Alligator mississippiensis: one gene and its partner. The protein of the gene in region 2 interacts with the protein of the main gene of each other region in a biochemical or structural test. Links are inferred from orthologs where the notes say so. Each region holds a gene or a part of one and is shown on either strand. Other genes may lie near its edges.

Region 1 (15,323 bases), on a different chromosome or scaffold from region 2:
GCACCACCTCCCTTGGGAGCCCGTTCCAGACCTTGGCCACTCGAACTGTGAAGAAGTTCTTCCTAATGTCCAATCTAAATCTGCTCTCTGCTAGCTTGTGGCCATTGTTTCTTGTAACCCCCGGGGGCGCCTTGGTGAATAAATACTCACCAATTCCCTTCTGTGCCCCCGTGATGAACTTAAAGGCAGCCACAAGGTCGCCTCTCAACCTTCTCTTGCAGAGGCTGAAAAGGTCCAGTTTCTCTAGTCTCTCCTCGTAGGGCTTGGTCTGCAGGCCCTTGACCATACGAGTTGCCCTTCTCTGGACCCTCTCCAGGTTATCCGCATCCTTCTTGAAGTGTGGTGCCCAGAATTGCACGCAGTACTCCAACTGCGGTCTGACCAACGCCCTATAGAGGGGAAGTATCACCTTCCTGGACCTATTCGTCATGCATCTGCTGATGCACGATAAAGTGCCATTGGCTTTTCTGATGGCTTCGTCACACTGCCGACTCATGTTCATCTTGGAGTCCACTAGGACTCCAAGATCCCTCTCCACCTCTGTGCCACCAAGCAGGTCATTCCCTAGGCTGTAGGTGTGCTGGACATTTTTCCTCCCTAGGTGTAGCACTTTGCATTTCTCCTTGTTGAACTGCATCCTGTTGTTTTCTTCCCACTTGTCCAACCTATCCAGGTCTGCCTGCAGCTGTTCCCTGCCCTCTGGCGTGTCCACTTCTCCCCATAGCTCATCTCGTTCCAAGGGGCCCTCGTTACGTTTGTAACCGCAACTTAAGCCAGTTTTCTTCCTGCGCTGCACGCATCAGCGGCGTAAGTAACAATCTATTTGCAACCAATACGCGTCTGTGCCTAATTCCACTCCACCCGTCGAAGTACCCACCTGATGTTCTGGGCTCTCGGCCACAGCCCATCAGCAGCGCTCGGCTGCCACATGGCGTCACGAACAGGATCTGGGGAAGATGCGATGGAGTCGGAACTAGTTAAAAACTGCCCCTGACGCAGTGGGGGGCGCCGCGTGACGAACGCTGATGAACTATGGGCACACATTGCCTATCACCAGGCGGGCGGAGCAGGTGAAAGGCTCGTCAGCGGCTACCTTTTGCTGAAAGGGGAAGAGGGAGTTTTGAGAGAGTGGGAGGCACATCTTGACCCCGGGGCATTCGGGTGCGTGATGAGCAGCGAGCGAGTCCTATTTAGGCCCCGAGAGGAAGTAGGCACCATATCCCTTGCCAGAGTCAAACCGACAGGCGCGGTACGCCCGCTGTATACGATATGTGCGGGAGGGCGGAGAACCGACACCGGTTGACAGGTTCAATCCTCTGGCCCTAGTGCCCGGGTCGAGGGGCCACGAGTTGCTCTCCGATCTCCGGGGAAGGTTAGAATTGGAAGGCCACATCACAACACGGTGGGCAGGCCCAAAGTGGGATAAGGGAAAAATGCTAAACATAATGTTCCGCACTGTCACAACTCTACTGCGGGAAAATGCAAACTTAGAGGCCCAACTGCTCACAGCTGCCCAGGCAGCTAAAGGGGCAGCAGTAAAAGAAAGCCCCGAGCCGCCGCCATCCCAAGATGCCGCCGGGAAAAAAGAGAAGCGCGCGAAAATTCCCCAAGAGGGATGGACAGCCACACCACCACCCACGGCCCCACCTCCCGAAGTGGCGTCAGCTGCAGCCCCACCCCCCGAGCCTGCCCCGCCTCCAATGTTCCCGCCTCCCTACAAGAGCAAAACTTTATACCCAGCCCTCCCACCAGAGGCTCCGGCAACCCTGACAGTAGCCGCTAACCCCGTCGCCCTGGTTAAACAAGTGACTGACGCTCAGGGCGCGACGCGTACTACCACCACATACCGCACCCGCACTCGAGCGGAACTACAAGAGCTGTGTAAAGAATCGAAAATAAAACCCGGCGAACCGCTAGTCATATGGCTAGGCCGCCTCATAGTAGAGTTTGGGTCCAACCTGTTAGACCTAGAAGAGGCTTGCTTCTTAACCCGCCAAGCCTCATGGAGCGGAGGACACGTCACTGACTTAAACGTAGTCATAGGCAACGTCCATTGGAATATCCCGCTCCCGGCCCTTGTCGCAGGGTAAGTTGATCACAAGCCTCATGCCTGGCACGACGGATGGCCACAAAGGGCCACTGCAGAACAGCTTTTATTAGCCATAATTGGAGTCTCGTATGCCTCGTAGAATCCAAGAGTGCATCAACTGGGACTAACACAGGCCCAGCGTAATGGGGGATGGGCCCACCGCCACTTAAGAAACCCTGGAGCCGTCCCGGCAACCCTCGAAGCTATAGAGGCCTGCGTAGAAGTCTATGGGGGAGAGAACGCCATAACACTCCGGCTCCTCCTCAACCCACTAGCAGGCCAGCCAGCCGGAACCCTCTTGAGCCAACTCCCACGGCTGCAAGCCCTCGTGAAGTTAGCAACAGAGGCCTCAACTGATGCGACGAACTCACCCTCCACATATCCGATTGAGCCCCAAAACCCGAGACGCTACAAGTTCGATCCCCAGCGGGAACCGTGGCCAATCCCTCAAAAGTCACCCGAGGAGAGGGCCATGTTCGGGTTCCTCCTAAACAACTCCAAACTCACGAAACAGCAACTGCGTATACTGGGAGATGAGGGCCAACGACACCTAGCGGCCGAGTTAGGTTTCAAATTCTACGACAAACCAAAAAACAAGTAGTGGCCGCTGGCCACACCGGCAGCCAGCCTAAACCCGACCCTACCGACCTCCACCCCTACACCGAACTTACCGTCTACGACCCCGTTGACCAAAGCAACCAACGAAAAGTGCTCTTCCTCCTCGACACCGGAGCCCAAGTCAACGTAATCACTCCGACAACGCCCACCAGAAAACCACAGAAACAATTAAGGTTCAAGGACTCAACACTGTTGCAGTCACAACAAAAGTTAAGTTTATAATCCAAGGTCACCGTCGCGCTCTAGAGGCAGTGCTAGGGGACATCAGCCTCCTGGGAATCCCCAGAATCAAAGCCCTAGAGCTAAAAGAACAAGTGTTACAAGTCCTCCTGATCACCGTTCCAGAGACCGACCGACACAGACCCACACTCTGCAATATGTCCACGTGGCATTATAAACCCATCCCGTGCAATACTTCTCCAACAAGGAGGCTTATGCCAGTACCTCAATCTGTCCCGTGACATGTGCTGTATTAGCATTCCAAACATCTCACTATCCCTGAACGCCCAAATCGATGCGATTCGAAAAGTCACTGCCGATACAAATAGAATCTCAGGTATCGGACAGGGGTGGTTATCTGACCTTTTGCCTGGTTTGCCTGGGATACATCCTCGTGGTTTCTAAACCTCTTAACACCCTTATCACCCTGTTACTCCCTCTCATTAGTATGTGAATTTGTGTTTGTGTCGGTTGTTGTTTTATGAAGTACATTAAGAACAGGTTCATTTCATTATCTGCTTTTGTATATACCCACTTGCCGTATGAACCCCCCAAACAAGACGATGACGGCCTAACCGGCTTATGAGCAAATTAGTTCCAACTGTGCCATCGGCAAGGGGGCATGTCAGAACCCATTAGTTGAATGCCTACGGCACAGTGGAAAATCCCTAAGCCCTCGTGATTGGTGTGCGCGCCGGGTCAGACCCCGGGTCGCTTTCGTTGCTCTGCACGCGGGCTGTGGCCAGCAGCCCGGGCAGGCCGGGTCAGAGAGGGCGGGCGCCGAGCTAGAATTAGGCACAGACACGTAACAGTTGATTTTAAGATTGTTTTACTTACACCGAGATGATCATGGTGTAGGCTGAGAACTTGCTTGAGTTGCGGTTACAACAAAAAACACGAACACACGTGGAGGTTGCAAGGCTCCACGCAGACAGAACACGACAAACTCCGGATGTCCAGGACAAGCGCGCATTAAACTCATCGTTACGTCTTATAGTAGGCTCCGTTCGAAGACGGGAAGAGGCGGGCGGTGGATCAGGCCGCCAAACCCCTCTGAGCGACACACAGGGTTTCTATTACCCTGCCGCGCACACCCAGAGTCCCCACGAGATGGATGCGGAGTCCTCTTCGGCTTGGGCGGAAACTGCTCAAGCCTCTTATACGGCTAGCAGGCCAATCGCTAGCCGCCACGTGTGAATAATTTAGAACTAGCCAATTGCGGGGCACGAATTTACATACGATGAGCGGGAACTCTTTGCACCGTGCATTTCTGTGTTGCAAAGGAAATGCACCCTGCAAAGATCGCTGCAAAGTGGCGGGAACACTCCCCTGCACGCGGGTTCTCTGCGCAGCAGAACTCCTCCGTGCAATGAAGTTGCAAACCCACGGGGATAATTCTTAGTGCCGAAGCACACACAAAAAAAATCAGACCTTTGGGTCATGACAATTGGCACAGTAAAAATTCTGCCACAGTAGAAAAGCCCGCCAAGTCCAACGGCCGCATCGTTCAAATGAGCACCACCCATTGGCCGGTTACAAATTATTCCTACTTGGCAACTTACGATTGGCTTACCAACCATATAAAAGTAAAAGCAGTTTCCGCCCAAGTTGGAGAACTCCTGACGCACCCTGGAGTAAACTTGGCGGACTGATCACCCACCAACAACTCCCCATCACCGACCTTCCCTACGTACCCCCTCCCCTGCATGCTTGATAAGCCATCTATAAAACGTCTCGTCTCGTTCCAAGGGGCCCTCGTTACGTTTGTAAGTGCAACTTAAGCCAGTTTTCTTCCTGCGCTGCACACATCAGCGGCGTAAGTAACAATCTATTTGCAACCAATACGCATCTGTGCCTAATTCCACTCCACCTGTCGAAGTACCCACCTGACGTTCTGGGCTCTTGGCCACAGCCCAGCAGCAGCGCTCGGCCGCCACAGCTTCAAGGTGGTGGTACCCCCCCACTCCCACAGGAGTACTTTTGGGGGCAAGGGGAGGGACTTTTGTGGCAAAGGTCAGGAGTTAGGGGATGGGACTTCTGGCCCCAAGGTGGTGAACAGGGGGCAGGGCTACTCTTACAGCCTGCCACAGCTCACCAAAACTCATTAAGTGGCCTTCCAGCCAAAAGAATTGCCCGCCCCTGTTCTAGTTACACCAAGTCATTCAAGGTCAAGGAGAAAGGTATCTTCCCTGCCATGTCTGTAAAACCTCTTAGGCCAAAACCATCATCATAGTATCCCCCCTGCATCCTGTCTGCCCCCCGGCCCATTGTTTTTCACTCCCCACCCTCCCTATGATGCTTCCATTAGCAAGGAGCAGCTGGTTTGTCACCACACACTGTGAACTGCTTGCCACTGCGTTGGGGCACCGCAGTCATTCATTGCAGCCTAGAGGGGGTAGCTATGGGCACTGCCATCTTTGGACCTCCCGAAGAACAGGCCCAGGCACTCCCCTGATACACGGCAGGTATTTTGCATGTGTGACACACAGTCGGGTGGTGACATTCTGCTTTCCCAGCTGGATGCAGCATGGTGGGAAAATGCACCATCATGTTAGGATGTTGCATTGCAGCTCAGGCCACTGCAGGGCTTGGGGGCAGTGCATCACTGTAGAAGGAGGCGGCACCCTGTGGGTGCTGTGATTAAGCTGGCCTGCAACTAGTACTTCTGTGGTTCAAACCAAATCTTTTGGTCCCCAGGCCAGCAGCTGGCAGGTGTACAGCATTGAAAGTCTGCAAAGGATCTCAGAGAGAGTGTGGCTTCTCTGATTAGCAGGGATCTGGGTTTTCTATTTCCCATGGAAAACCAGAAAAAAAACTGAAGCTTTTCCCTTTTATTTGAGAAAAACGCGAATTTTACATTTTAACGGAGAAACCCATGGATTTTCCATGTTTGCAGAGCTGTCGGCAGGCTGGCAGATTTCCAGCCTGCAAGGGGCCGGGGGGAGCGGGAGGAGGGTGGCCACGTGCATGTGCACACTCACACACGCACATGGCTGTCAGGCAGGCTGGAGAGCAGCTCTTGCAGGTAAGTCTGGCAGGGGGAGGAGGGGAGACTGAGGCAGAGCCCTGGCGAGGAGCAGGACGGGGCCACGGGCGGCTCATCGGGGTGGAGGCTGGCTCCCTGCCGCTGCATGCACTCCTGGAGGGGGCAGTGGGACCACGTGCCCCCCAGATTAGGGCATGGGGCAGGGGCAGATGTGGGCTGCAGGCTCAGGCTTCCTATCCTGCTGCCCTCTCCCCAGAGCCTCTGCAGCGCAGCAGGTGGGACCCAGCGCGGGAGGGCAGAGCGGGGCCAGGCAGGAAAGCTCCTTGCAACTGCTGGCAGCTGCACACTGCCATGGCAAGATGCCCCTGCCCACCGGGCAGCAGTGAGGGGCACAACTTCATGCTGCTGCCCCTGCTGCTGCTGGGTGGGCAGAGGGCACCTCACCAGGACAGTGCAGGGCTCCCAGTGGCAAGGAGCTTCCCAGCCCCGCTCTGCCCTGCCCCCAGGTCCTGGGGTCTGGGGTCCCACCGGCTGGGCTGCATAGGCCTGAGGGGAAGGCAGCAGGGTGGGGATCCCCAGCCCACCGCGGGCAGTCCCCTCCCCCATGGGTTCTGCTTTGGCCATGCCACCCATGGAGGAGGGGGAACCAGGCTTCGTGCTCCGCTCCACTGCAGCACCGACCGCCTCCCATGGGCGACAGGCAGGGCTTGGGCATTGCTGTGGGTGATGGGCGGCTGTAGACCTGGTCCCTGGCCCCATAGCCCTGGCAGCTGGGGGCCCCCTCCAGAAGGGCTTGGAGGGCATAGCAATGGGTGGCGAGGGGCTGCAGGGCTCTGCTGGGTTTGCAAGAGGCAGCCTTGTCCCCTGGCCCTCAGGGCTGAGCAGAGACACTCACCAAAGTCTAGAAAGCATTTTTTTTTTTTTATATAAAACATTTTATTAGAAAACCAGACTATAACAAAAGACTCAAAACGACCCCAAAACAGAGGCCTCACAAAAGGGTAATACAACATTTCAAAGGTCTAGAAAGCAGCTACCAGACTGAACCAATTGCTCCGCAGTCAGAAAGCAGCAGGTACAGCCACCTGGGCAGCCTTCTCTGTGTAGAAGCCCCCTTGCTATGGGTAGCCCTGGGGCATGGGAACTATGGGCTTGAGGACAGAGGAAAACTCTCAAGCCACCTGCCAAAGCTGGGATGCGGAGAACAGTGCCCAGGCCTGTGTGTCTTTAAGAGCTGGTTTGGCTCCGTGCCTATCCCTCCCCTCTGCCTGACACAGCAGCAGTCTCATTTCCTCTTCTCATCCTGTAGGTTCCTTGCTCTGCCTAGGTGGCTGCTGCTCCGGCTTGGGGCAGGATGGCTTCCCCAGGGTCCCAGAAGCTGGAGGAGAAGCTGGTGTGTTCCATCTGCCTGGAGCTGTTCAGGGAAGCTGTGACCATCCCGTGCGGGCACAATTTCTGCCAGAAGTGCATCAGCAACCACTGGGACAAGCAGGAAAAGGAGGATCCCCAGGGAGAGGAGAGGTTTACCTGCCCTGACTGCAGGAAGGGCTTCAAGACACGGCTGGAGCTCAAGAAGAACGTGTCGCTCTGCAGCGTGGTGGAGCTGGTCAAGGCGGGTGAGGTGCAGGCCTCCAGCACGGACGTGAAAGCCCCGGCTGACAGGGGGAAGTGCCCGCGGCATGGGCGGCCCCTGGAGCTGTATTGCCAGGAGGAGAAGGTGTGCATCTGCTGTGTGTGCACCGTGAAGGAGTGCCTGGACCACCACAGGGTCCTTTTTGAGGAGGAGCGCAAGAAGAAGCAGGTGGGTCCTGGCTCGGTCTCCTCTGGGACCTGCCCCACATCCGTCAGGCCCTGGAGAGAGAGGCGAGCTCTGATAGAGGGGTGCTGTCGAGGTCGGGGTGCAGGCACTGCTGTGCCTAGAGCCTGGGCTGGGACACCAGGGTTCTCCATCAGACCCCGGCTTGCTGCGTGGGGCCTGCATTGCACATGTGCCCGTTCCTTAGTCCAGAAAGGACAGCATCCCAGCCCATCTACACTAAAGCATCTTGAGACCTTCCACTGTTTCACTACCCAGAGGCTCAGCTCAAGCGGCTGTTTTTGGGCAGTGGTTACTAGTGTCAGGCTTCTCCTTGCTGATCTGGACTGAACTTTCCAGGGCTCCTGCATTTGAATGTCGCAGTGTCCTGGTCAGGGATTTAAAATGAATACTGTTTACTTACGGTCTTGCACACGCTGGAATGACTGTCTCTTCTCCACGCAGCAGGGGCCCTGCATGCCTGTCTTCTCCATGGGTCCCAGTCTGCCACCCTCCCACCCGTGCCAGTCTCAGGGCCCTTAACCTTCCTAGCCATGCCACAGACTCCTGGCCCCGTGTCCCCCTTCCCCTATACCAGCATCCTGCACTCCCCCATCTCCCGCTCACTCCATGCGAGAAGCCCTGTGTATCCCCATTGCCAAACTGGTTACCCCTCCTGTTTCTTTCTGGGAGTTATGTCCTGCAGAGAATCTCGAGGTTGAGATAGCAGGTGTTAGGTGGGAAGCTGCTAGTGGGTCTCATTGCATCTATACAGATTCTGAGAGCGATGCCTTGGAGTGGAGTATCAGGCACTACCGTGTTTTTCTTGGCTCAGCAGAGTCAGCTGCTGGGCAGATACACCTGCTGCATGGAAGGTCAAGAGGGAGTGACCTCCCTTTCCATGGACAGGTAGAAGGACCACGTGCAGGTCTGCCTCGTAGCGGCCCAGCACTGCGGCCTTTGAGCAGCATCAGCTGAGCAGTGACCAGAGCATGTGTGGGGAAAAGAGGACCCCCTTGTATTTGGATTCACAGAGGGGCAGTAGTGAGTTTGAAGGGGAGACAGTGCCGTGCAAAGGCCAGGGCTCAGAAACCACGTAAAATCACGTAACCACGTAAAATCACGTAACCACTTCTGCTCTCATGGCTTCAGTTGAGCACTACTGCCAAACAAGGAGGGGATGCTGACACTCCTCTCTGACCTGCCTCAAAATGCGCAGATGCCAAGCGCCATGTAAGTGTTAAATGTTTAGTATTGGTGATGAGGGGAAAAGAGGGAGAGTCCTTGCACAAGGGGTGGGATGTGGAAAGCTGTGGGAGCCATCACTGTGGAGAGGGGCTTGAGCAGCCAGGGGGAGGTTCATGTGAGATAAGTATTACACGAGTGCTGAAAACTATGCTCCGCTATGTTACAGCTTGGGCTTTACTCCATTTTCAGGCCCTTTTAGAAGAGTTATTGGAGAAGACACAACAGGAGGCAGCAAAGATCGAGGAGGAGAAGCATAAACTGGAGGAAACAACGGAAGACATTAAGGTATCCAGGCAAATGCAGCTGCTGGGCTCGTGGGATTGCAGCCCTGAGCATGGCCTCCCCTCCTACTTGGCCTGTGGATTCTTTGTCCTGTTGTTTCAATTGACTTTTTCTGCCCAGGAATCTTCAGAAAAGCTGAAATCAGGGTTTTTGAACAAGTTTGCCCTGATAATTGAAGCCCTGGAGAAGCAGCGGAGGCAGGCAGTGGAGAGGATCGAACAGGAGCAAGCCACTGCCCTGGGGCAAGTAGCGGAGAACTGGGCCCAGCTGGAACACCAGCAGGCCACCCTCAGCCAGCACCAGGAGAAGGCCTGGGCCCTGCTGGCCTGCACAGATGACAGGATATTCCTGGAGGTATTGACAACCAGCCACAGCAAGGGGAGGGGAGGGAGGTCCTGCCTCCTTCAACCCAGAGGAAGAGGGATTGAGGGAGCGACTGCCATGGAGCCTTACACACCTGTGCCCTCTGCCCTTCCTCTCCCCTTCCTGCCCCATCTAGGACTTCTTGCAGCTCCCTTCTGAGACCCTGGAAGCTTTGCCAGCCATCGAGTTTAATGCTGCCAGCAAAGTGGATCCCATCTCTAAAATCCTCACTGAGGTCTCTAGGCTGTTGTTGGAGGATTTGCCCAAGTGCCTGAACCCAGAGGTCACTGGCCCAGAAACCAAAGGTAAGCTCTGCCCTTGGTGACATTTCCCCCACTGCCTACAGGTTGCACTGGTGGGGGCAGTGTCATCCCAGCTCCGTGAGTCCCCACTCTGAAGGGTCCCTGTACTAGAGATGCTGCACCTGGGTGTTTGGGTGGCTCAGGCACCGCATCATGAATGTCACCCCCTGCACTTGGCCCCAGGTGGGGTCACTTGGCCACCCCAGGCCTTAGTAGTAGTATTATTTAATATTTAGGTTGCAGGTTTGCCTGAAGATCGAACCCCTATAGACTTACCCTAGGCCAGTGGTTCTCAGCCTTTTTAGACTCAAGACACCCTTGGATTGACTTGAGGCACCCCTTAGATAATGCCAGCTCATAGTTTTCACTCTTTTTTTAGGCTAAAGAAAAATAAGAGAGCAGTTTTCTTGTTGCAAACAACTCAGAGACCCCCACGATGGCTTTCTTATTTAGAATTTTTTTTCAAGATGGCAGCCGACAGGTGAAGCCCCTCTGAGCTCCTGCAGCTCGAGTGCCTTTTGTGCGTTCCCTGCACTCCGTGCCCCCCTTTTCTGTCCCCACCCCCCCAAAAAACCTTGCCTCTACCCACCCTGTCCCTGGGGACCCCTTCCCCCCCTGCTTTCTGAGCGTTTTTCCCCTGGGCTCTGGCAGCCTCGTTTGTCTCTGCCCCCCGCCTGAGTTCTCCCTGTGATTCCTACTGCCCCCCTCCCCCAGGGCCCCTTCCCTTGGTCCCTGCCATCTCCCCTGCCTTGGGGCTTGCCCTGCCCCCCCTCAGGCCGATTTTGGGGCGTTTTGAGCCCAGTCCCAGTCCCAGTCCCTGGCCTCAGCCTGAGGCTTTTTTTTTTCCCCCTCCCGGGAGAGAGTTAACCCTCTCCTGCCGGGATGCCTGCCAGCAGCCAAGGCACTTGGCATGGGGATGTCTCTGCAGACCTTCCTCTCAGCCATGGCATGCGGGTGCATGCCCCTCTCCACGTCACGGTGGAGGACTGCGCCGGGGCTCTGGTGGACCTGCTGGGACGCCGGAGTGTGTAGTATGCCTCCCGGGTCAATTCGGTGCCCATTATCTATCTGAGCTCTCCCAACCTGGTTAGGGAGGTGTGTGCGGCGGGGCTGGAAGTCTCGGGGGTCCACCACTTGGTCACACCCCTGGAGACCCTGGCAGTGCGGGTGGTGGCCTCCAACGTGCCCCTGCACCTGTCAGACTGGGACCTCACCAACGCGGTTGAGCACTATGGTGTCCTCGCCAGCCCCTGGCGCAGGCTGACCATAGGGAGTAGGAACCCCAAGCTGAGGCAGATCCTGTCCTTCCGGAGGCAGGCGTTCATGCTCCCCAATGGGGACACTCAGAAACTGCCTCCCTCCTTGACTTTTGCCCTGCAAGGGAGGTCCTACATGGTGTATTTCTCCCTGGGTGGGAATTCCTGCCGCTGCTGCGGCGGCAGCTCCCACCGAACTGCCCAGTGCCCGTTAGGGCGGTCAGCCGAGGCACCGGCTGCTGCGCCCACCCAGGAGGATGGTGCATCCACCTCGGGTGTGGGACCCCCATCAAAGGGTGGGGTTGGGAGACCTGCCAAGCCCCCCTCCACCCCTGCTCCATCCGAGGGGCTCGACCCCTCTGGCAGTGGCATGCCACCCAGGGGGGCCTGGGACATCCTCCCAGGTTTCTCCCGCCCCTGTCGTAGCGGATGCCTCTTCCGGTGGAGGGGCTGGGGAGTCCTCCCAGTCCCTTCCTGTCCCAGTTCTCCCCGGGGTGGCTAGAGTCTCGGGCGCTGGGGCCCTGTCAGGTGGAGCACCCGAGACCCTCCCTCCACCCCTGCCCCAACCGAGGTGGTGGACCTGGAGGTGGCGACACCCAAGCAGCCTGGCCCGCCCCCTACGGGGGAGGTGCCAGCTACTCCCCAAAAAGCGAAGAACAAGAAGTAGAAAAAAGGAGCGTCTAAAGGAGCTCCTGCCCCTTCGGGGCCTGTCTCAGACAGCACCGGGGAAAAGGCAGCCAGGGAACCTGAGCCCGCTCTGCCTGCCCCTCCGGAAACCCTGCCACCTCCGACCACGACTGAGGGTGTCCCAGAGACGTCTGGCAACCCCTCGCCCCCATCCCAGCCAGTGGGGCCTGTGAGTGGCAAGGCAGGGGTTGAGTGCCTGCCTCCCGAGCAGCGGCAGGCGGCGGAGAGTCTTGCCACCCCACCGCCCGCTCCCCTGCCTGCCGAGGCTGATGAGGAGGAGGAGGAGGAGATGGAGTGCCTGCCCTCTGAGCGCCGCAAGCAGCCCCGGGAGCGGGACAACATCTGCCCCCCAAAGCGGATGGGGATCGATCTCCCCGAGACGGTCCTCAACCCAGATAGAGAGGGGGCCTGCTAGGGAGCCTGGCCATTGAGGGCACTTTCACCGGTCTCACCGGGAAATCCCCTCCCAGGGTACAGCCCCGCCGGTTCTCAGTCAGCAGTATCCACCTCCTTCTGGAGAAACCCCCCTGGGTGGCTCCCAGCTATGGAGGTCTCAACCTCTTGGACCACACCAAGGGCCAGAGGAACGTGGCCGAGAGTATCCGGCAATGGTGCCTGGACCCTGCGCAGTTTGTCCGCGCCGCTAGCAACACGGCGAGGCTTATGCACCGGGACCCAGGCACGCATCAGCATGCCTTCTAGCTCGAGAAGCTGGTGACCCGGGTGAGGGAGGTGTAGGGCCGAGGCGGGCCCGCGGAATAGGGTGGGGCAACGCTAGGCCTTTCCCCTGTCTCCGCGGTTTTTCTGCCCGGCATCCATCACCTTCTGTCCCACCGGTACCCTGCCTACCCTTCCTCCCTCTTCTCCTGTTCATGGCGGTTACAACAATTGCCTCGCTCAACACCAACGGCTGCAGAGACCCGGTGAAGTGGATGGCCGCCCTGGAGGGCCTGCAGCAGAAGCGCCTGGTGATCGCCTTCCTCCAGGAGACGCACAGCGATGCGTACGTTCAAGCCGACTGGCACGCCGCCTGGAGAGGCCGCTTGTTCCTGAGCCACGGCAGCAACCTCAGCGCAGGAGTGGCGACCCTCCTCTCGCCGCAGCTGCAGTACAACTCGGCAGTGGCACGAGAGGTCGTCCCCGGCCGGCTGCTGACCGTCCACGTCACCCTGGCACACCAGAGCCTGCTCCTCGTCAACGTCTACGTGCCCACTGACGGGAGAGAGAGGGTCGCCTTCCTAGAGACCCTGGGCGACCTCCTGCATGACGCCAGTGAGAAGGACGACCTGCTCCTCATGGGCGGGGACTTCAACTGTACCGTCGACACGCTGCTAGTCTGGACAGGGCCGGAACCGCGCCTGCCTTCGGCCCGCAAGCTGCGGACCGTGCTGGAGGTGGCAGAACTCGTCGATGCCTGGCGGGTCCTCCACACTGATGCATGACAGTACACCTGGGCAAAGATGAGCGCCAGCGGGCTCGCCATGGCCCACCTTGACCACCTCTACATCGGCCAGCACCACCTGCCGTTCCTGCATGGCAGCCGCATCGTTCTGTCGGGCCTTTGGGACCACACCTTGGTCTGCTGCGAGCTGAGCCTGCCTGGCAGAGCACGCACGCGAGCCCCTTACTGGTGCCTCAACGTCAGCCTGCTGCAGGACACCCGCTTTAGGGACTGCTTCGCCCACCTCTGGAGGAGCTGGGAGGCGGCGCGAGCAGACTACCCCCCCGGCGCCTGTGGTGGGACGTGGGGAAGGTCCAGATCCGGGCGTTCTGCCAGCAGTATAGCCAGCTGGCGGCAAGCGAGCTCCGCTGCCGCACCCAGGAGCTGGAGGAGGACGTGGCGGAGCTCGAGGCGGCCCTGCTCCGCGCGGGCAACGACGTGGCACTCCTCGAGAGTCTCCGCTCCCGCAAGAAATGCCTGCAAGAGCTGGCGGAGGACGCAGCCCGCGGCGTGCGGGTCCGGGCCCACTGCCAGGAGCTGGCAGAGGCCGACGCCCCGACTGGCTTCTTCTTCGGTCTGGAGAGGCAGCGGGCTGTGGTGAAGACGCTGGACCACCTCAAGACCCCGGAGGGCCGGCTGCTCACAGACCCGGGCGAAGTGCGGCAGCATGCCGTCGCCTTCTACCAGGACTTGTTTGCAGCTGAGCCCGTCTGTCTGCGGGCCGCCCAAGAGCTGCATCGGGACCTGCCGCACCTGGGCGCTTCGCAGGCCGAGGCCCTGGAGCACAAACTCTCCCTGGCGGAGCTGGAGGCCGCGGTGGGGGGGCTCGCCTCGGGCAGGGCCCCGGGCCTGGATGGCCTGCCCATGGGATTTTACAGAGCCTTTTGGCCCCTCCTCGGGCCCAGCCTCCTCCGAGTCTTCCGCGAAAGCCTCGCCGACGGGACCCTGCTGACCAGCTGCTGCCGGGCCATGGTCACCCTGCTGCCCAAGAAGGGGGACCTCGGCTGCCTGAAGAACTGGCGGCCCATCTCCCTCCTGTGCGCCGACTACAAGATCCTGGCCAAGGCGCTGGCGAACCGTCTCCGCACCGTCACGGCCTCCATCATTGGGCCCGAGCAGAGCTACTGCGTGCTGGGCAGGACCATCCAGGACAACTTGTTCCTGCTGCGTGACCTGCTCACGGCCATGGAGCTTTTTGGCCTGGACATCGGCGTGCTCTCCCTGGACCAGGAGAAGGCCTTCGACCGGATCGACCACCAGTACCTGCTCGGCACCCTCGAGGCTTTTGGCTTTGGGCCGCTCTTCACTGTGGCGCTCCGGGTCCTGTACCACGACACCTCCGGCCTGCTCAAGGTGAACGGCGCGCTGTGCTCCCTGTTCCCTGTGCATCGCGGCATACGCCAGGGCTGCCCCCTGTCGGGCATGCTGTACGCCCTGGCCGTCGAACCGCCGCTGCACGCTCTGCGACATCGCCTAACCGGCCTCGCCCTGCCACCGGCGCTGGGCCCCGCCACCAGCCCCCCGCTCCGGCTGATGGCATACGCAGACAACGTGACCGTCTTCCTGGGCAGCCAGGAGGATGTGCGAGCCCTGGTGGATTGCCAATGCGCCTATGAGCTCACCGCCTCGGCCCGCATCAACTGGGGCAAGAGCGACGCCTTCCTGCTGGGGACGTGGGCCGGCACGCCTCTCTTACTGCGGCCGGGTCCTCGTCGCCAACAACCTGGCGGCGGCCACCCTGTGGCACCGCTGCGCGGTGCTGGACCCTCCTCTGACCTGCCCTCTACCTGCCCACCAGGGAAGGGGGCCAAGGCCTGATCGACCTGGCCAGCCGGGTGGCCGCCTACCTGTTGCAAGCCCTCCAGCGGCTCCTGGACGCCGAAGGCCACCTCCTGTGGCGGCAGCTGGCGTGCTGGTTCCTGCAGCGAGTGGGGGGCCTCGGCTTTGACTGGGAGCTGTTTCTGCTGGACCTCACTTTCCTGAACGGGGCGGTTCTTCCCCCATTCTACCACAGCATGGTGCGGGCCTGGCGAGCAG
Region 2 (15,009 bases):
GATGACTAAATCCGGCTAGTGGTAGCACTTCATTTAGGGCAGGGATGTCAAAGATATGGTCCATGGGCCAGGTCTGGCCTTCAGGGCCCTATCATCCAGCACCTGGTGCTTCCCCTGGGTCTCAAGTTGGCCCATGTGCCACATGCAGCATATGCCAGACTGGTCCCTTGCATTGGGGGTGAGATGCAAGCCATACACATGCCTGCCCCAGGTGGTCTGGGGCACCCGGTGCCTGTGCTAGGACATGTTGCACACAGTATCTGTGCAGAGCCAATCTGGAACCCTCCCCTGACCCCCATGCCAGATCTAGTGCCCACTGCATCAATGCTGCCTGTTCCAGGACTATGTTGCATGTGGCACCTGCTCTGGCCAGTTGGGGATGCACACTACACATGACATGCACTCCAGCAAGTCTGGGATGGGTGTGGTATGCAGCGCAGGTCTCAGGCTGGCTAGAGCAGACACTGCCTGCAGTGCAGTCCTGGACCGGCCGGGGCAGGTACCATGGGTATTAAATCCACCGTGCAGGAGGGGTTCTGTGGTCCCACACTCTTCATGTAGCCCATGGATGCCAGATGAGTTTGGCATCCCTGATTTAGGGTGTCTGCTCTACCTTTTATTTGGTATTGGGGCCCACCTTGCTGTACCAGTGACTGCCTACATCTAACTAAAGGATGGTGTTACTTTCTTTATAGTATCTCTACATGTTTTCTATATAAGATAGGGAAGAAGCACCATTGCAGTTGGCATCAAAGAAGTGACAGGACATTTGTCATTATACCGAGTAGTTAGTCTTATTAGACTGAGGCAGCCAGAAAGGCTTTGTTTGGAATCCATAGATCTGTTGAAATAAGGTTAGGGCATTTTAAGAGGGATGGGGATGGGACTTAAGGATAGGGGTGAGGGATTTGAGAGATGAAGTGTGGTTGTTTTTGAAAATGTGGCTAAGGAAAATCTATATTTTGTCCATTTTAAAACATTCAGAAAGACCATTTCTTTGAACAGCTCTGTCACCTTCACCTTCTCCCTGCCAAGAAAGTGGTTGTCCCTCCCCCTCCCGCCAGTAGGAACACCACCTTGGGCATCATGGTGCTGCTTCCCGTGCCGGGTGAGCGTGGAGCAGAAGCAAGTTGGAGAAAGGACTTGCCAACAAAATCTCAGAGCAGCCTACAAAAGAGACCAAAATAAATAAGCAAAAAGTTGTAAATCCGTAAAAACATCAGTTTGCAAATGCTCAGTAGGGAAGTGCTAGATCTCAACAGCTTATTTTCCTGAAGATTCTGTATGTGCTTTGATACCTGTGCATGAGCTGGGGAAAAGGGATTGAGCAGGTCTTCAAATTCTGTTTCGAGTTGTTTTAGAGCTTGCAAGGTCAAGGCACAAACCCAGGCACTGAGAACAGGGAGTTCTCCTCCCTACACCAGGAAGCAAACCCCAGAGGAGGGCTAGGTAACCCCTGGCACTTACCCAGAGCATGGCATGTAAAAGCATTTTGCTTGGCATTTTGCATGGCATGGATGCCTCAGGGCAGATGGTGGGAGAGCCGTGAGGGCCCAGTCCTTGTGAAAGCGCTGCCCTGGCTCCTTCCTTCTGCCTCGAGGCACACGTGCACCCGCCACTGGCAATGAGCCAGGCCAGGGCTCCAAATATGCAGCACGGAGAACCTTTTCACATGCGCTGCATGCATCTTGCAGTGCCTCAAAAACGTATGAGGCTCTGCAAAGCACATGTTCCCACTCATCTGGATGTGCCTTATTAGTTCAAAGGGCAGCAGTAAGTGTGAAAGTACTAGAAGTTCCTGCTTGTTAAAATTCGGGACTTTCTGGTTTTCCTAACTCTTGAGTGCTTGACTTTGCAACCTCAACAATCTAAAAAACCTATTTTAAATGTAATGTGTTCCGTTATAAAAGATTCTTGTGAGCTGTCTTTTTCCTCCTTCCTCCCCAAAAGATGCAGACCTTTTTGTTTGGTAGAGAGAGAAAGCTAACATGCTTTCGCTAGAGAAGTGCTTCTTCTTTGTCCCATAAAATTTCTGGCCATGCCTATTTGATTCATGAATGCTAAAAACACCACATTTCCTCCTGTTGCTTGGATTCACAAGGGTAACTTTAGTAGATGCCAAAATAACTGAAGTGAACAATAAAGAGCCAAATCCTACTTGGTGTTAAGGTAAGTTGCATGTTGTGGTAAGAGGGGAAAGCCACTGCATTCTTCCACTGCACCTCTTACATCTATGTTCTCAACCTGTCCTCCCACTGAGGGGCACATGGAGCAGGATCTCCCCCAAGTCCTGTGGGGAGAGGCTCTTCCTAGTTTTGCCCCAGACTTGATGTTGTTGCCAGTGATCCATCATTCTCTCTTGCCATTAACTAGTGTAAGTAGTGCTACAAGGAGAAGCCTGTACTGATTTTAATTGGAGTTAAGTACCTTTGAAAATCCCACTAGGCCTGTATCAGAATCTGGAGGTGCTTAAATACCTTTAAAAATCTGACTGTGATGTTTATCTCCCTACAGCACTATTCCAGGAATAATGACTTGTGTCAGTGCTAATAGGGGGTAGTACACCAACTAGGTTGCTCAGAAAAAGTAAGGTGAAGATGTTACTTAGCAACAAGGATCTTCAAACAGAACTCCGCTCCAAATTGTGAAGGAAAATGACTAAATCAAAAAATGTAAAAACAAAAGGCTGGTGCAATGACTGGTGGTGATGGTAACATATTGGAGAAAGGAAAAAAGCAAGCTTTGGGAATCTTTCAGAAAGTAGTTTCCAGAAAAATTGAAGCAAAACTAGAAATAAAAAGAGGTCAATAAAGGCAGTAATTAAAACTACGTAGCTAATGATTGTGAAAGGAAAATGAAAGGAACACGTAGATCCGGGGCAGAGAAACCAAACAGTGAAAAAAGCTGAACACAAAGGAATATAAAAATTAAGAGGGAATTTCCAGGTCTGTGTCTAATTATTGTCCTAGACTAAACATGTTTTCCAACATTATACTGAGCTAAATCTAAAGCCTGCTAAAATCAATGGAGAAACTCAGACATCAACAGGCTTTGAATAAGACCCAGAGTTTCTCACCAAAGGCACCAAGTGATTTTCAAATACAAATTAAACCACATAATGTACACTGGAATACTATTATTAGAATATTTTATAGTTGAGGAAATTTGAGACATAAAGGACTGAAGAGTGACTTGAATGGCAATACTAGAAAGTAATATTATGTAGAAGCTTGTGTTTTTTATAGATATTCAAAATTGGTCACCTAAACTAGAACTCCTAATTGGCATTTACAAACCAAGAATACTTGGCAGTCTTCAATACTGATGTGAGTGCAGAAATGTGAAAGGGGAGCTGAGATTTTGGTTGTAATTACAATACACAAATACCAGTAGAAAAGATTAAAATGCTAACACTAGCTTTTGGAAAGTTATGTTAGGTGAAAATCAGTATGCCTTTTTCAGTGGCAAATCAGATTTTTCTTGGAAGTCATGGGTTTGTGATTATGTTAATTAGTAATTGATTTAACAATGAACATTTTGAGGCACAAATATTCTAAAAAGTTAGTATTTATGGATTCCATATATAACAATCAGATAAATCAATCAATTTAGAACAAACAATAAAAAAGATCATGTAAAATGTTTAGCACTTGATCCTTCTTTATGGATTTGTGTTAATCTCTTGAAGGAATAGGGCTTAAGTGTTTTTGATTACTCTTACTAAACAAAGTATCCCCAATATGTGTGCACACATGTACAAGAAAAGGTAGGTTAGTTCTGGAGGGGTACTCTACACCCTGGGATAGCACCTTCCCTTCACTTCCACATCTCCACTCTGAATTGGACAGAACAGTAAGTTTTGTGGGGTTTTTTCTTACCTAAAAATGACAAGAAATCCTTTAAAACACAAACCCTAATTTTGGGTGCATATTCATATTTAAATAATCTAATAAAGTCTCTAACAGTCAAATGATTTCAGATTTTCCAGCAGAGATATAGATAATCACAGCATTGTTTTACAGACAGTACTGTGGAGATGTACCACTAACAGGGTTTTTTTCTCTTGTGTCTTTTGTGTTCTTCTGTACACCCATAATCGGTGATGCACAGCCCCAATGACTTCTTTGCAAGTCCTGTGATTTTTAGTGAATTTAAAAAAAACCCTCAAGTGCTGGAGTCAAGCAGTTGCATAAGAATCTCAGCTGTCATTAAAAGAAGACTGAGTATCCATAAACTACTGAGACGGGCAGATGGGAGGGGGCGGGGGTTACACTGCTGCTCTTGCACCCCCCCACTTTTGATTTCTGTTCCACCCAAGGTTTAAAGTCAACTGGCGGACAGCAGCATTTCTAGTCAGGCTGTGCTGAGGGAGTCAATTGACTTTAGGTCTCTTTGTATCATAGTATCATAGTAGCTAGAGTCAGGAGGGACCTGAACAGATCACCTAGCCTGACCCCCTGCCACAGGCAGGAATGAATGCTGGGTTCACAAGACCCCAGACAGGTGATCATCCAACCTCCTCTTGAATTTGCCCAAGGTAGGGGCGAGGACCACTTCCCTGGGAAGTTGGTTCCAGATTTTGGCCACCCTAACTTTAAAATATTGCCTTCTGAGCTCCAACCTAAACCTATTCTCCATCAGGTTATTACCATTGTTCCTTGCCACCCCAGGTGGTGCTGGGGAGAAAAGGGCTCTGCCTATTTGCTGTTGATCTCCCCTGATGAGTTTGTAGGCAGCTACCAGGCCCCCCCTCAGCCTCCTCTTGCTGAGGCTGAACAGGTTCAGGTCCCTCAGTCTCTCCTCATAGGCCCTGCCCTGCTGCCCCTGATCATGTTAGTGGCCCTCCTCTGGACTCTATGTTGTCCACATCCCTTCTGAAGTGCAGCGCCCAGTACTGGATGCAGTACTCCAACTGCAGCCTGACCAAAGTCGCATAGAGGGGGAGTATCACCTCTCTGGACCGGCTTGAGATGCACCTTTGGATGCATGACAAGGTATGGCTGGCCTTGCTGGCTGCAGTCTGGCATTGGCAAATCGTGTTAATCATGGAGTCAGTAATGACTCCAAGATCTCTTTCCGCCTCTGTGCTTTCAAGAGGGGAACTCCCCAGCCTGTATGTATGTATGCTGTGGATTCCTTCTCCCAAGGTGCAGCACCCTGCATTTGTCTACGTTGAACCCCATCCTATTCTTGTCTGCCCACTTCTGTAGTCTAAATCTAGTTGCAGCCTCTCTCTCCCTTCAAGTGTGTCTACCTTGCCCCACATCTTAGTGTCATCAGCAAACTTGGACAGCGTGCTTTCCACCCCCTCGTCCAAGTCGCTGATGAAGATGTTAAACAGTGCAGGCCCGAGGACCAAGCCCTGGGGTACCCAACTGCTCGCATCTCGCCAGGTTGAGTACAACCCATCCACCACTACTCTGGGTGCGCCCCATCAGCCAATTTTTTACCCATCCAACCGTGTAGGCATCAAGGCCACAGTCGCTTAATTTATTGATGAGGATGGGGTGAGAGACAGTGTCAAAGGCCTTCTTAAAGTCTAGAAAGACTACGTCCACAGTGACACCATCATCCAAGGATTTAGTTACTTGGTCATAAAAGGCAATCAGGTTGGTCAGACAGGACCTGCCTTTGGTGAACCCATGCTGATTGCCCCTGAGCATGATCTCCCCTGCTGGCTCCCCACACATGTGCTCCTTGATGATTCTCTCCAAGATCTTCCCGAGCACCGAGGTGAGGCTTACAGGCCTATAGTTACTTGGGTCCTCCTTCCTCCCCTTCTTGAAAATTGGAACCACATTAGCCAGTTTCCAATCCCCTGGCACCTGGCCAGATGACCACGAATGCTCATACAGCCGGGCCAAGGGCTCCACAATGACCCCTGCCAGCTCCCTCAACACCCTTGGGTGGAGGGCATCTGGACCTGCAGATTTAAAAATGTCTAGCCCTTCCAGAAGATCCCTAACTACATCTGCTCTGACTGAAGGTCTGACAGAGCTATCCCCAAGATTGTCCCTACCTCTGGTAGGTGGGATGTCCCGGTCCCTGTTCAAGAAAACAGAGGCAAAGAAACTGTTAAAAATATCAGCTTTCTTGTCTGGTGTAGCCACAAGATTACCATTTGCGTCTTGCAGGAGCCCTACATTGCCTGGTGCCTTCTTCTTGCTCCCAATGTACTTGAAAAAGGGACTTTTTGTTGTCCTTAATCCTGGACGCTAGCCTGAGTTCCATCTCTGCCTTGGCCTTCCTAATGGCCCTCCTACACTCCTGGGCCGAGGAGGAGTACTCCTCCTTGGTGATAGCTCCTCCCTTCTACTGGTTGTACGCCCCCTTTTTAGTCTTCAGGAATTCCTGAATGCCCCTGCTGAGCCAAGGGGGTTTCTGAGCACTCTTACCCCCCTTGTAATCTACCCGATTCCTTCTAAATATTTCATTCCACAGGTGTTAAGGACCCTCTCTTCTTTTTAATGGTCTTGAGGTTCCATGATCAAGCTGCCCGTTCTTCTGCAAATCTGCTGTCTGTTAGCTGCTCCTGGTAAGGAAGCTCCTATTTCACAGCCCTGCAGATTGTTTTTAACTCATTCCATTAAAGTTATATTTGTTTTTTTTCAACCTTAAAGTGAAAAATATTGCCCTAGGTCCCTGGCATATTTGTAAAGCTTCTAGTTTACTTTTAACTGGAGAAAAATATGTTATTGTATATGTGATACTTCTGGAGGGACTGGACATATTTAAATCAGCAGGTCTTGACAATCTCCACTCCAGAGTGCTGAGGGAATTAGCAGAGGTCATTGCGGGACCCCTGGCACAGCTTTACGAGCACTCGTGGTGCTCTGGTGTGGTGCCAGAGGACTGGAAAAGGGCCAATGTGTTTCCCAGTTTCAAAAAAGGGAGGAAGAAGGACCCAGGAAACTATAAGCCTGTTAGTCTTACCTTGATCCTGGATAAGCTTTTTGAGAGAGTTATCCTGGCACATGTCTGCAAGGGGCCAGCAGGGGAGATTAGACTTAGGGGCAACCAACACGGGTTCATTAGAGGCAGGTCCTATCAGACCAACCTGGTGGCCTTCTGTGACCAGGTCACAAAATCCTGGGACGCAGGTGTCACGGTGGAAGTAGTCTTTCTGGACTTTAGGAAGGCCTTCGACACTGTCTCTCACCCCATCCTCATTAAAAAACTAGGAAACTGTGGTGTCGACACCTACACAGTCAGATGGGTCACTAACTGGCTGGAGGGCCGCACCCAGAGAGTGGTGGTGGACGGGTCATTTTCAACCTGGAGGGATGTGGGCAGTGGGGTCCCCCAGGGCTCAGTCCTCAGGCCCGCACTGTTCAACATCTTGATCAGTGACTTGGACGAGGGGGTAAAAAGCACCCTGTTCAAATTCGCGGATGACACTAAGCTGTGGGGAGAAGTGGGCACGCCAGAAGGGAGGAATAGGCTGCAATCGGACCCGGACAGGTTACAGGGGTGGGTGGATGAAAACAGGGTTTCAACACTGACAAGTGCAAGGTGCTGCACCTGGGGAGAAAGAACCAGCAGCAGACCTATAGGCTGGGGAACTCCCTTCTCATCAGTGCCAAGGCAGAAAAGGATGTTGGAGTCATTATTGATGCCAAAATGAACATGGGCCGACAGTGTGGGGACATGGCCAGGAAGGCCAACCATACCTTGTCATGCATCCACAGATGCATCACAAGTAGGTCCAAGGAGGTGATCCTCCCCCTCTATGTGATACTGGTCAGGCCGCATTTGGAGTACTGCATTCAGTTCTGGGTGCCGCACTTCAGGAGGGATGTGGACATGGAGAGGGTCCAGAGGAGGGACACTTGCATGACCAGAGGACAGCAGGGCAGGCCCTACGAGGAGAGGCTAAGGGACCTGAACCTGTTCAGCCTCCACAAGAGAAGGCTGAGGGGGGATCTAGTGGCCATTTACAACCTAGTCAGAGGGGACCAGCAGACTTTGGGGGAGTCCCTGTTCCCCCGAGCACTACCAGGAGTGACAAGAAATAATGGTCACAAGCTGGCAGAGGGTAGATTCAGGCTAGACATCAGGAGGCACTACTTCACAGTCAGGGCAGCTAGGATCTGGAACCAACTTCCAAGAGAAGTGGTGCTGGCTCCTACCCTGGGGGTCTTTAAGAGAAGGCTAGACGAACACCTTGCTAAACGACCCCAGTACTCTTTCCTGCCTATGCAGGGGGTCGGAGTTGATGATCTGCTCAGGTCCCTTCCGACCCTACCAACTAAGATACTATGATACAGCACCTCACCATTTGCATCCTCCTTTTCAACCTTCTAGGGGAATTTTGGGGAGGGGATATCGGCTGTGTTCTTTCCTATGCTGGTTTCCCATAAGGCAAGTTCGAAGTCTCTGCCCATGTCTTTGAGATGTTTAATGGCCTGGGCCTGGATTATCCAACAGCACAGGCGACTGGTAAGGGGGGACACGGGGGCAGCACATGCCCCCCCCCCCCGAGGCTGGCCCCTGACTTGGCACTGCTCAGGACAGAGCAGTTTTTTGCCCTGTGTGCCAGCGGCATGTTGGGGTGGGGGCACTAGGCTGTGGCACAGGAGTATAGTAGTGGATATGGGGCCCCCCAGACTCAGAAGGCGCCAGTCACCCCTGTCCAACAGATTGTCCAAACTCCAGCAGGAAGCCATAATTGATAACAATGAAACTTCCCATCATAAGATTGCAATAGCCAGCAGACAGAAGGGCCCTGCTTTCTGCAGAGCTAGGATCCTCCCAACCTGCGCCGGCTTCCCTCCGCCGGCAATGGGGACTTCTCCAAGCTACCCGGTGCAGCGCGGGCCTCTGAGAAGGAACCAGAGCAGGTCCTCTGGACCGCCCAGCGCCGGGACCGGGGCGGCGCCTCGGCAGCAGCTGTGCCGCAAGAATTGAAACCGAAACCGCCGACCGGAGCCTTGATAAGCCCCGGCGCCGCCCGGGACGCCGCAGAAGCTGGGGAGCCGCCATGGAGGAGAGCACTCAGGACGAGCGCTACCTCGACATGATCTCCTGCTTCAGGTCCCGCATCAAGGCCGGTCTGCGCACGGGGCCCGTGCTGGACCACCTGCCCCAGCTGGGCGCCGAGCGCGAGCGCATCCGCGCGGCGGCCGAGCAGCACGGGGAGCCGGCGGCGGCCGAGCTGCTGCTGCGCGCCGTGGAGCGGGGCCCGCACACGCCGGGCTGGTTCGCCGCCTTCGTGACCGCGCTGCAGCTCGGCGGCTGCGCCCTGGCCGCCAGCTACGCCAACCCCAGCCTGCGCGACCTGCCGTCCCCGGCCGAGGAGGCCGAGCACGACCTGTGCGTGGCGCTGCTGCAGGTGCTGCACGGCTCCCTCGTGGACCGGCTGCGGACCCGGCCGGTGGCCGACAGCTGCCTGCAGGCGGGCCTCGCCACGGAGGACGACAGGGAGCGGGTAGGTAGCGGGCCGGCGCCTGGGGATGTCCACCCCTCTAAAAAGCGTTCAACATGCACCGTCGTTTTTCCGAGGCAGCTAGTTGATGCTGCGTGTGCAAAAGCCAAGTCACCCTCAGAGAGTCTTAGCCAACTTCTGGGAGGGGGGTTGTTTTTATTTTTTAAGGAAAATTGTTCTTCCCAGCCAGATCGATTCCAAGAACCAGGTATGGTCCTACTGCCCTCAAACATCCTCCATCCCCACCTGGGGCTTCAGATGTTTCCAAATGATTTGGCCGGCTCAAGCGCCGATCCGGTGCCCCTTCCCCATAAGGCCGCAGGGGCGAGCTAGGGAGGAGTCTCCCAGTTCCATGAAGTCAGCATAAAGCCAAGATCTTCCCAAGGGAAATGAAAGTGGGAGGGTAACTATACATTACCTCTGCCAGAGCAGCGGTTATCCCCCGTCCGTGGGAGAACCAGCCTGGTGATCATGGTGTTTTCCCTGCCAACTTCCGGCTCTGCTGTCAGCACTTCTTATGACTGCTTGCCTCCAAATAAATAAATGCCTCAACTTTGACCCAACTCTCACTCCATGGGTGGTGTCTTACACTGACCAATATAAAGTGAGAAAGGAGACTTATTGCATACTTCTTTGCATATTTTTTCAGCGTGCAATAGGTTTTTAACAACTACGATCATTTTGAGCTTTCAATACAATTAATTTCATATTGAAGACCTGGCAATACTGTCTTTAGTTCCCAGGTGCCAGGAGAGGAGGACAGGGCTTAGCCTTACCTGCTCCCTCAACCTGTTACCTGGCCTCAGGATCACCAAGGCCTTGGAACAATAAACTAGTGGTGTTTTCTCTTCTTCACTGGCTGCAGTTGGTTCCTTATTGCCAGTTCCTTATTCCTGGCTCCCAGTTCCATTTTCAAAGATAATCTGTAGCCAAAAGCTTGTTATTAATGAATAACACGTTCTAAAGAGAGAGAATTTCACTAGCTATGCACAGTAACTGATTAATATGTAAAACAATATCCTATATCAAATACAGAGCTTTAAACGACGATAAAGTTGGGATGGGATTATTGGGCAAAATACTTCTTGGGCCAACCCAAACCTCCTGTTGATACCACTACCTCCCCAAATAAGCCTGAGCACTCTCCTGCCGGGCCCAAAGCACGGGTTGGCCCTGCCAGGCTGCAAACTGAAAGCCCACTGTACTAAGCATAATAGCTTGGATAAGGAATTGGCTTTTGGACTGGAATTATGGCTGGAAATCCTTCTTGGGCCACTCCACGACATGCCTTTGTACCACCAGGGACCTCTCCTGGACATCAGTGTCACTGACCTAAGTCTGGGCCAGCCAAAAGCGCAGTTTGGCCCTGCCAGGCTGCCAACTACAGCCCCCCATTCCCATTGTACTAAGTATCTGGGCTTGTCGCAGGGCACATCAGTGCCTGGCTCCTAAGGAGTGAAAGCTGCCTGGGAGAGAGCCTGGGCAGAACATAAGGGGGACAGCTGCAGGTTGCTGGGGCAACAAATGGGAGTCAGCTGGCCAGAAGGGGGCAGGGCCTGGCCCTTATAAAGCCCAGGGCTGAGGCCAGGCTGGCAGTTCTCAGCCAGCAGCCGGAGAGGCAGGAGCTCACTCAGCTCAGCTATGGGGAGAAGTCTGAGGGGCAAGTACAGCTCCTGATAGCCCTGAGAGGATTGGGCACTAAAGGTTTAGCCAGGGGGCTTTATGTTTGTGTTACAGCCAGGAGGCTTGTGTTTGTTTGGCTCTGTTATTACACCCGGAGGCTTGGGTGAGGCTGTAGGGGTTGGAGGAGGCCTCAAGCACAGGGACCCCAGAGAGTGTGGGGTGCCCTAGTGCCAAGAGGGCGCATTATTTGAATAGTGCCAGGGAAGGCGCAGCTCGCACGCCAGTGCGTGAGCAACTGGTGGTGAGGAGCGCGGCCAGTGGGTCGCGGGCGCAACCGGCGGGTTGCAGACGGGGGACCGAGACCCCAGATTGCATGCAGGGTACATAGAACCCAGCCCCAGAGAGGGGCGATTGAGCCCAAGTGGGGGCGTAGGACTTATAAGGACCTGCAGCAGTGTGCGGGGACCCCGACGCCCAGGAGGGCACAGCATACGGGGTGTATAGACCCAGCCCTAGGGAGGGGCATTTCTGAAGCCCCAGCGTGGTCGGGGCGAGCTCCCAGGACGGGGGCCATTTTGTAAGCCCAAGCGGGGCACAGCCAGACGCCAGTGAGGGCGCAGTTTATAGGGGCATAGACCCCGGCCTCAGAGAGGGGCGATTGAGCCCAGGTGTGGGCATAGGGAGCTCCAAAAAGGGGGCAGCATAGTGAGTCTCCAAAAGGGGGCAGAAGAGAGATGACAGCACTTACATCTGCGAGGCTTGGGCTGCGGTATTAGGGGAGGTTGGAACCGCAGAGCACCCCCCGGTATCGGGGCATTATAATGGGCAGCCTCCCGCTAATTAATTAATTAACATCAAGATGTGGCAGGCGAGAAGGCGGGCGGTTGCCGCAGGAGCAGGTGAGCGGGCCACAACTTGGCTTGGAAGCGATGCCTGTTACAGGGCTCAAATAAAGAACTGGCTTTTGGGCTGAGATTACTGGTGGAAATCCTTCTTGGTCCACCCCACACCATGCCTCTCTGACACTGAAGGACTCTCCCAGACATCTCTTACCAGAGTCATGCCTGGCCCAAAGTGCAGTTTCTTTGTGCCTGGCTGCTAACTGCCAGCCTCCCCAGCCACTGTACTAAGTATATGGGCTCAAATAAGGAACTGGTTTTGGGCTGGGATTAGAGATAGAAATCCTTCTTGGGCCACCCCACACAATGCCTCTGTACCACCAGGGGACTCGCAGACATCCCTAATCAGAGTCTTGCCTGGCCCAAAGCGCAGCTTGGCTGTGTCAGGCTGCCAACTGACAGCCTCCCTTGCACACTGTAATAAGTATATAGGTTCAACTAAGGAACTGGGTTTTTGGCTGGAAAACTTTTTGGGGCCGGCCCACACCATGCTTCTGTGGCACCGGGGAACACTCCCAGAGTACTCTGACAAGAGTCCAGCCTGGCCTAAAGCGCGGTTTGGTCATGCTGGGCTGCCAACTGACAGCCCCCCATTCCCAAAGTGTGGGTTGTTTCTGCTGGGTTGCTAAATGACACCCGTCCCCGCCATGCCAACTACATTAAGAATAATGGCCCGAATAAGGAACTGGCTTTTGGGCTGGGATTATGGCTGGAAATCCTTCTTGGGCTACTCCACAACTTGCCTCTGTACCACCAGGGGACTATCCCAGACATCCATGATCAGAGTCTTACCCGGCCCAAAGCACAGTTCGGCCATGCCAGGCTTCCAACTGACACCCTCTCCCCCTACCCCTCCAGCCACTGTACTAAGTGTATGGGCTCTGTAACAAGCGGGTGTCCCAGGGCCAGTCAGTCATTGGCCTGCCTACTTGTTTCTGGGCTAACCACCTGCCGTTTTCTCCTGCCATGCCTTGATGATGATGATGATAATGATTATATGATGTTAATCAGGCAGGAGGCTGCCCATGTACTTGCCCTGATGCCAAGGACTGATACACATAGCTCCGACCTCCCCTTACTGTGTCCCATGCTTTGCAGATGGCATCCATGGCCTAGCACCCGGCCGACTCGTATTCCTTTGGGCTCTTAGCCCCCTATCATTACTGTCCAGCTCCCAGTCTGGCTCAGGACCCTCATCATCTCCTTAACTCAATGCTCCCAGCCCCTACCATTTATTCTGGGCTCCAAACCCTGTCTCTGGGCTCCAAGCCCCATCTCTGGGATCAGGGCTCCAAGCCCCAGCCCCTGCCCTCCCTGAGCTATAATCCTTTATCCCCTTGACCCAGGAGCTCTACTCATAGCTCCTACCTCCCTGGAGCCTCATTCCCAGATCCCTAGTGCAGCCTCAGAGCTCAACTGTGAATTTGGGTGCTGCCTCAGGTCCCCCTACCTGACCTGGGCCCTGCTTCAGCACTCACAGTGAGTCTGGGCTCCCCCTGCTTGGTCTTACTACCCACCAGGGATGTGGGGGCTGGGGTTATAAGGTGCCCCTTACTCGCCTTTCACTGGCAAGGTGACTGGCCTGGCATTTCCAGGGACTACCCTACCATGGGCTGCCCCACCAGACCATCCTAGTCCAGCAGGGTATAGTTTTCTATTGTACCCAGGACAGGGAACCTCCTTCCATCCCCGTAGCCCACCCCAGACCTCCAAGGTGTTGTGAGCAGCAGCTCCAGCCAGTGATGTCCTTCCGGCTGCCAGCAGCAGACTACTGGCTCTGCTGTTTAGGGCCCTGCTCTTATAGGAAACAGCTGGGCCCTGTTCTCAATCAGGCAGTCCTGCCTAACTGGAGTTGCCACCAGCTGCAGGCTACATAGCTGCTGCCCACGCATATGTGAGTAACAGAGCATACTTTGTGCTCTGTTACAGGCTCAAATAGGGAACTGATTTTGGGCTGGGATCAGAGATGGAAATCCTTCTTGGACCACCCTACACCATGCCTCTGTGGCACTGAGGGATCCTCCTGGACATCCTTGACCAGGGTCTTGCCCAGCCCAAAGTGCGGCTTGGTCCTGCCAGGCTCCAATTTACTCCCCATCCTTGTGTGCTATTTAAGGAGCTGCCCTTCTGTTGGGATCATGGGGCAAAACCTTCTTGGAATCATGTCAAAACACATCCCTGCTACCAAGGGAACCTCCTAAAGAAATCTGGGCATGTGCTTGACCCAATGCATGTTTTTGAGTGTGAGCCTGCCAGTTGACACTCAGCCTTTAAGACTGTATATTACTTTTCTACCAGGCACTGGACAGCAGGAAGAATGGTTGCATGCAAATATAGGGCACTTATACACATGGTGGACCTCTGCTCTGATGCATGGTATTTAGCACCTGTCAAAGCAGACTTGATTAATCAAGCCTGCTGGCAGTCTGCTGGAGTGTGCTTATTAGTGTGCTCCACCAGCTTCCACATCATGTGTATTCACTGTGCCTGCATTTCAGAACAGCAGCGGGGGTACTTTAACTAAAGGTCATTGAACAAGATTTAGTTAAAGTGTCCCCATCGCTATTATTAAGCATGGAATGCTGAATACACGTGACGCTGCAGACACTTTAATTAGAGTCAGAGCCATTCGAATTAAAGTGTCACCCCACACTCCACCCCGGAGCATGTGTATAGATGCTTCTAGGGATTTTTCACCATCTTTTCATGTTTACCTTCAGCTGCCACCCAGAAGCTTAGTAAAGTAACTTAGAACTGGGTGTTGTAATTTAAAGAAACCTGCTCACTCACTAGCAAATATTAAATTAAAACAAGTTTATTACAAGGGAAAAGGGAAACAGTGGTACTCCCTAAGCAAAACCTTAACTATTAACCTTTAACTGTAGCTCAGAACTGATCACAGTCACAGTCAGTGGCAAACCAACCTGGGGAGCTCCCTCTTAGCCTGCTCACTTGAGAAGGGAGTCTCACCCAGGGCTGCCATCCAGAGGCTCTACCACCTGCACTGGCTTAATAGTAAGTTTTGGGTAGGAAAGACCACCACAGAGACTCTGTTGCTCCCCA

Evidence for each region.
Region 1: of the proteins of IFIH1 (region 2) and TRIM65, one has a biochemical effect on the other in vitro, tested with the Homo sapiens proteins (2 studies listed by BioGRID, with this or other methods). The link is inferred for Alligator mississippiensis from reciprocal best matches to the Homo sapiens genes IFIH1 and TRIM65.

The regions. Positions count from the first base shown.
Region 1 is NC_081831.1:13,241,679-13,257,001, reverse strand, and holds the start of TRIM65 (E3 ubiquitin-protein ligase TRIM65), read left to right. Parts: upstream 1-7,197; 5' UTR 7,198-7,266; coding exon 7,267-7,713; intron 7,714-9,144; coding exon 9,145-9,240; intron 9,241-9,357; coding exon 9,358-9,591; intron 9,592-9,736; coding exon 9,737-9,905; intron 9,906-15,323. UniProt on the Homo sapiens protein: E3 ubiquitin ligase that plays a role in several processes including innate immnity, autophagy or inflammation.
Region 2 is NC_081827.1:219,322,053-219,337,061, forward strand, and holds the start of IFIH1 (interferon-induced helicase C domain-containing protein 1), read left to right. Parts: upstream 1-8,854; 5' UTR 8,855-8,980; coding exon 8,981-9,427; intron 9,428-15,009.